2 linked regions of the Drosophila melanogaster genome follow. The protein of the gene in region 1 interacts with the protein of each later gene in a pairwise test. Each region holds a gene or a part of one and is shown on either strand. Other genes may lie near its edges.

What was found.
Region 2: the proteins of scpr-B (region 1) and CG17658 interact in a two-hybrid assay, tested with the Drosophila melanogaster proteins (one large-scale study listed by BioGRID).

What each region holds. Positions count from the first base shown.
Region 1 is NT_033777.3:11,239,324-11,242,715, reverse strand, and holds scpr-B (SCP-containing protein B), read left to right. Parts: upstream 1-1,724; 5' UTR 1,725-1,736; coding exon 1,737-1,850; intron 1,851-1,903; coding exon 1,904-2,578; 3' UTR 2,579-2,675; downstream 2,676-3,392. Other genes in the region: scpr-A (SCP-containing protein A), read right to left, coding at 661-1,335, 1,401-1,520; CG31388 (uncharacterized protein), read right to left, coding at 2,679-2,820, 3,089-3,205, 3,283-3,392.
Region 2 is NT_033778.4:23,893,109-23,897,030, reverse strand, and holds CG17658 (uncharacterized protein), read right to left. Parts: upstream 1,969-3,922; 5' UTR 1,847-1,968; intron 1,787-1,846; 5' UTR 1,769-1,786; coding exon 332-1,768; 3' UTR 34-331; downstream 1-33. Other genes in the region: Upf3, read left to right, coding at 2,264-2,356, 2,414-3,556, 3,613-3,855; DNAlig1 (DNA ligase 1), read right to left, coding at 3,912-3,922.

The sequences.
Region 1 (3,392 bases):
TTTCATATTTATGTCTATTTCCAAATGCTTTCGGTTTCCACATGTCTATTAACATTCACTGAAACGCATATTCCCATATTCATGACTGTCTATTTAGTTTTCATACGTTTTGATTTATTTATTTCCCCTATTTGATTTACTCTTAATTTTAGCACAAAGTCATTGACTAACTAAAGACCATCTGATTGCTCGGCGTCCCTCTCTAAAAATCACAAGATGACATCGGCTAGATCACTTACACATAAGCAATCAGACCCTCTATTTATTGCATCATCATGGTTCATACCGATCCACTTGGATAGAATCACTGGAGGGCAGGACTCTCGCAAGTATTCCCGAGCGTTCAAGCCCACAACATTAGATACAGTTTTGTAAACCTGCGTAAGATTGTGATATTGTGTGTTTTAATGTACAAGTTGAACATCCAAACGAAAGCTGTCGAAGCAGACGACAAGATGATAAATACCTCTCGCATGATATGATATACTTAAATAAATCAATTTAGACTAAAAGAAACCACCCATACGTTTTTTTTACTATCCGGGCCAACATTTTTAAACCCATCCTAAAACTATAAAATCAACGGCCGAGATTTCAAATGATAAGCTCTTTTAGCTTTTATTTGCCAACTTAATTATGGACTAAGAATCGAAAAAGCATTTACATCGTCTGTGTGTTCTCGATGACCTTCTCGTTGTCGTAGATCTCCTTGGCGTAGCACAGATTGGGGTAATCGTAGGCAGCTCCATATCGGTTCTTGCAGCCGGTGGTTGCCTTCTCTCCCGGAGTGTAGACAGGCTGACCCACAATGTTCGATGTGGCGAAGTTGCAGGTGAGTACGAAGTGGTTGTAAAAGTCCCGGGAGAAGCGCACCGCGGCACATCCCACATGTGTGTTCTTCTCGGCCACCGCGATGGTGAACTTGGTCACCGCTTTGTTGGGAAGCTCCTCCGGGAAGCTGGCGAGGATCTCGGGAGATGCATTCGAGCGCTCAGCAAACCAGTTCTCGATCTCCTCCTTTATTATTTCCGCATCGGTGTACTCCGTCTCGGCTCCGCTGTACTGGAACAAGGCGTTGTTCTGGCCGGCGTAGGCGAATCTCTCGGTGCTGCGGCACTTATCCGGCAGGGACTCACAGGTCTTTACGTTCAGCAAGGCCAGATGGGAGAGCTCCTCGCACCAGGACATCTTGGCCATGCGAACAGCCTTGGGTAGTCCTTCTATTTTGCCTCCAGCCACATTGTTGCGCAGCTCGTTGAAGAGATTGAGGATGAGTTTGTGATGCGGCTCGATCTTCACCTCACGCACGTCCTTGGGACAATTTTCACTGAAGTTCTGGATGGGGATTTAGGACATTACCAATACGAACTCCTGTGAATTTGGTTTACATAAGAACTTACTCCCTTGTTGTTACAGGCCACATGCTTGTCCAGACAGGTGGGGAGAGCACAATAGTCGACGGCAGAGGAAATGGCAACCACAGCTAGGAGAATCAATTGGAGAACCTTGGTGAACGCCATGATGCTAGTTCTTGGCTACTGGATTGGACAGCAGATGGGTCTGCTTTTATATGGCATTCGAACTGAGCTCAGCCACTTGTTCCTGGCCAGACATTCTTGGAAACTCAGCTGCGAAAATACTGGAAAACATGTTGCAACTGCGGTTCGATTGCCACAGCTATCCTATAAATAGGGTACTTTGGGTAGCTAAGCCTCAGTCCAAAACCAACGCTGAAGATGGCCATTAAGTGTCTGATTTTGCTTACTTCCCTGCTGGGAATAAGCCTTGCAGCGGACTATTGTGCTCTGCCCACGTGCCTGGACAAGCACATAGCCTGCAACAACAAGGGAGTAAGTAGTGATAGCTGGCCAAAACCTGCTGGTGCTCACCCATTCTCGCCCAGAATTTCAGTGAAAATTGTCCCAAGGACGTGCGTGAGGTGAAGATCGAGCCGCATCACAAACTCATCCTCAATCTCTTCAACGAGCTGCGCAACAACGTGGCTGGAGGCAAAATAGAAGGACTACCCAAGGCTGTTCGCATGGCCAAGATGTCCTGGTGCGAGGAGCTCTCCCATCTGGCCTTGCTGAACGTAAAGACCTGTGAGTCCCTGCCAGATAAATGTCGCAGCACCGAGAGATTCGCCTACGCCGGCCAGAACAACGCCTTGTTCCAGTACAGCGGAGCCGAGACAGAGTACACCGATGCGGAAATAATAAAGGAGCAGATCGAGAACTGGTTTGCTGAGCGCTCGAATGCATCTCCCGAGATCCTCGCCAGCTTCCCGGAGGAGCTTCCCAACAAGGCGGTGACCAAGTTCACCATCGCGGTGGCCGAGAAGAACACCCATGTGGGATGTGCGGCCGTGCGCTTCTCCCGGGACTTTTACAACCACTTCGTACTCACCTGCAACTTCGCCACATCGAACATTGTGGGTCAGCCTGTCTACACTCCGGGAGAGAAGGCAACCACCGGCTGCAAGAACCGATATGGAGCTGCCTACGACTACCCCAATCTGTGCTACGCCAAGGAGATCTACGACAACGAGAAGGTCATCGAGAACACACAGACGATGTAGGTGATAGTAGATGCTGGGATCTTAAACATGAACGCGGAACGGAAGCTTTATTAATATCAATTCGGTATATATAATTAACATGCAACTGGCAATAATGAATTCAATTCGTTGAACAATTTCTTCCACGGGAATTGGGGGATGCAGCAGCTTTAGCACGCGCCTCCAGAGTTTTGTGGGCATTGGACTTCAGATGGGATCTGTAGTGTTTGGCTGTCTTGAAGCTTATGCGGCAGATTTCGCAGCTGGAAGAGATTGGGGGTGAAAAAAATGTTTTACTCATTAGCATGAGGCTTCAAAAAAGTAATTTGATTACATTGAACTGCAGCATATCATATTCAACAGAGTACTGCTGATATTTTATAGGAATATATAGGCACACAATCGTTTTTTGCATATAAAACAAAAAATACGTTTGACATGCAAGATAGATTCGTTATTTAGTTGCGAATAATGGAAATCCTTCTAATTTGCATTCTCTGCAAATACTTAAGAACTGGGAGGAAGTCGTACCCGTGATCGCGAGTCAAGTTGTGATACTTTTGATGTGTCCTGCACTCGCTGGGTGTTACATACGACTTGGGGCAGTACTCGCACTGGTAGATACGCTTGCTGGCGTCCATGTGAACCCTGCGGAATATATTGGAAGGGTCACGTAAGTGGGGATGGTGGGCTAAGTGACGGTGGAGATTCGTCTGAAATTCTACCTTTCATGCATGCTGCGGGCGCTGCAAAAGCGAAAGGTTTTGCCACAGTTGTAGCGACAGATGTAGGGACGCTCGGTTGTGTGGGTTTTCTGATGGGAACAGAGTTCGGC
Region 2 (3,922 bases), on another chromosome or scaffold:
GAGCATTTATACTTATTACAAATGTAGGCTATCAACTAGTTAAACAATTTATTCTTAAAGAATTACCAAAAATGTAAATGGATAAACAAACATGTTTAAATTAAAGGGCGACATTCAAAGCCGCGTTCGAAACTGAATACTGTTCTCGATATTATCAACTAATTGTAGTTATTCTACAGTCTTGGGTAGTTTTAATGCATCTAACTTGATACTTGTGGCAGTAATCAGGTAACTTAGAATATGTATTTGACGAGCAGCTGTTTAATAACAAATGTCAGTATTGTCGAAGGTATTATGTGTACTAAACTAAGCCTTATATAGTCTTTGGTAGTCATTGGCATTTTTTTTTGCTTGTGAAAATAACCTCGAGGTAGTTATTGGCATACACAATCCTCTCGGTATCTTCTGGTGCTGGATTGTGCAGTGGCAATATTTCACGATAGGGATTGCCCATTATATTGTAGGCTCTCTCGATGGCAATCTTGCTCTTCTCAGCGGACAATGTGATGGCCGCGAAATCGGAAATTGCCTGAGCCCTTGAAATCGAAGTGTAGCAAATGGGAACACCAAAAGATCGAATAACACTTGACAAGCAAGGCTTCCATTCGTTTTCGAGTGGAACCTTCCTTTTCATATACCTAGAAATTCTCTGGGTTACTTTACCGACTCCGAAGAAATCGGGTTGCATGATGAGAATCAAGGTGGGATCCACATTTAGAATACAGGAATATTGTGAAAATGACAGGGGGTAAAAGCATTTCACCACGGTTTGTTCAAAGCTCCTGTCGCTGAATTTGATATCCACTTGGTCGATGCGCCCAACGGTTCTTCCAATGAAGTGTAATTCCAGATTACGAATGCTTGGGTACTGCAGGAACAGAAAACGCAGGTGCATGTCCTCGAAGTAGCGCAAAGTGTCCTCGGTGGCGCCGGCCACGTAGACTATGACAGCTTTATTCGGATCTGGGACCCAGGAAATGTGCGACAGGGCCAGGCACAGACTTGCGATGCCGCTGAAGGAGGAACAGGTAGCGAATAGCTGGTACGATTCCAGATCGGTCCAAGGAGTGTCGCTGATCCGTATGTCGGTGGCTTCGGTGAAAGCCTTGATTAGATTAGACTCTTTTAGTGGGCAACTGCGGTAGAAGTCCTTGATATTCACTAGACAGTTCAACTGACGAAACGGAGTGGCAATCAGAGCCAGGGTCTGGCAATCCTCCGGGGTGTGATAGCCCCTGACTAGGCGTTGGTGTGCCGCGGAGCAGAAGGCCACTCCGGCACATCCTTCACAGTCCTCGAGAGCTTCAGTGCTGAAGCACACATCGCACACGGCTGGGTTGCCGATTAGCTGATGCTCCCGCTGATTCAGTGGTCTGCCCAACTTGGCCAGCAGGACCATCTTTAGCTGCGAAATGACGAGCTGAAGCTTCCTGCGATCGGTGATTTGGCCGAGCAGCTTCAACGGGTGATCGATCTTCATGGACTTCTGCAGATCCCTCAGCACCTCGCAGAGTGGCTTGTGTTCTTGACGATCCGCCACGAGATGGGACAGGCTGCAGTATCGCTGCATATTGCAGCCTCTGCATATCACGCTGGGCTTCACATGTGCTTTCTCCAGAAGCGTTTGCAGGTGAGCAAGGTTCTTTTCCACCTTGTCCGATTCCTTGGTGAAACCTTGTATCAATTCTGTCCAAGTCCTGCCCTCATCGGAGACGCAGACGAAGCACTTCAGAAAGGATCCCACTGGTGGATCTACCGGCGCCATCATTTTGCAATGCTCAGATTCCTGAAAACGATGTTACTGCATCATGTGTCAAGCTCTCTAGAATGTCCATTTACTCATTACCTTGACCAAGTTTCCTTTTATTCATTCAATTCGAGCATTTAATGTGCCAAAACAGTCGAAACTGTTTAAAAGTTGAGCATGATATCTGCGTACCGGTCAAAAAAAGCGCTCTTGCAATGTGGATTTAAAGAACTAGTTCCAAAGATCTAGATACCAGAGCCTTGTCGTAATTGCCAGAAATGGCACAGATATTTCAAGTTCTACTTTCCTAATATTTGGCTAACTAACTAAGTGACTAACTTCTTTGATAGAATCTATTTTTTTTTACTAGAATAATTGGATATAGGTTCCACTTGTGAACTTTAGAATTTCTTCTAGTTCGAGCCGAAAGTGCCATCTCTATCGGTTCCACATCATGTTTGCATTTGTTGGCTTTTCGGCTTTGTTTTGATTTTTGTAAATAAAAAGGAACAGAAAATGGCTGAAACTTTTGCCGAGGAAAAGCCCAAGGAGAAGTCCAAGGCAAGCAGGCGCAAGGACAAGAAGGACAAGACCAATCAGATCGTTAAGGTACCGTCCAGACTGTCTTAATCCCACGATCCTCCGAAACTAATGCATTCATTGCAGATTGTGATGCGGCATTTGCCGCCGACCATGACGGAGGCGCAGTTCCTGGATCAGGTGGGTCCTTTGCCGGAGAACGACTCGTATTACTACTGCAAGGCAGACTGGTCGCTGGGCCAGGAGGCCACCTGTCGCGCCTACATCGATATGTCCTCCAAGGACATAGGCGAGGTGGTGCAGTTCCGGGATCGCTTCGACGGCTACGTCTTCGTCGACCACAAGGGCGTCGAGTACATGGCCATCGTGGAGTATGCTCCCTTCCAGTGCTTCCTTAAGAACAAGGCCAGGAACGACGACAGCAAGGTGAACACCATCGAGAGCGAACCCCACTACCAGGAGTTCATCAAGCGGCTGGCCCAAGAGCGCGAGGAGGCGAGTCGCATGGGCGACGTCAAGATCGACTTCAACTTCGAACGGCGAACAGAAGAGAAGGTCAAGTCTACACCCCTCCTGCAGTACCTGGCCAACAAGAAGGAGAAGCGCCGGGAGGAGGCGCGCAGGCGGAACGAGGAGAAGCGGAAGCAACGCGAGGAGCAGAAGCTGTTGCGATTGGCAGCGCAGTCGGACGCCAGCAAGCTTAAGGAGGCCGAAGGAGGCGGCGGAGGAGGAGACACGAAGAAGCCAGCCAAAAAGGATGTCAAAGATCCGCAGTCATCTGGATCCCAAGCCAATGATGCCAAGGCCTCGCGCTCCAAACGACGAACGGAGCGGGATCAGAGGCGACGCGAGGAACACGAACAGCGTAAGCTAGTCAAGCGGGACAAGAAAAAGGATGACGGCCAGGGCAAGCAGGACAAACAGGACAAACAGGACAAAGGCAAGCCATCCAGCGGCAAGCAGAACAAAAATTCAAAGTCCATGGACATCGTTATCTTGAAGAAAGCAAACAAGCCAGAATCAAACGAGAGTTTGGACGTGCCATCCACTTCTAACGCTGCGGAGGCCTCGAAAGAAAAGCCTGCGACTGAAAACACCGAGACACCAGAAGCTGCTGTCAAGGTTTTTACACCGGCTGCCAGAGGTGGTCGCAAGGAAAAAAGAACCGGCGCAGACAAGCAGCCAGCAGGTTCCGCCCACGAAACTGCAGAGGAAGCCATCAAGGCTGCTCAATTTCGAGCTTCAGAGGAGCGGCGCATTCGGAATAAAGTGGGTCTCACCTATTACCCCCCTCGACATTTTACTAACCCGCTTGATGTTTACAGGATCGACCATCGATTGCCATTTACCAGCCCAAAGCCCGAATTCGTGCATCAGATGAGCTGCCCCAAGGTGCAGGCGGCAAAGATGGCTCGGATGGAGAGGCTTCCGTGGTGGAGGAGAAGACTTCGAAGAGGAACAAACGCCCCAATCGGCGCAACAAACCCAAACCGAAGGAGGTGAAGGAGTGTGAGCTCGAAACTCGTCGCTTCTCCAAATCCTCCGAGAGCAGCACCAGCGTCAAATAGCGATAACAGACTTTTATTGTTAAATAAATCGTGTACACATGGCTGGAGCAGACCGGTCAGTAGAACT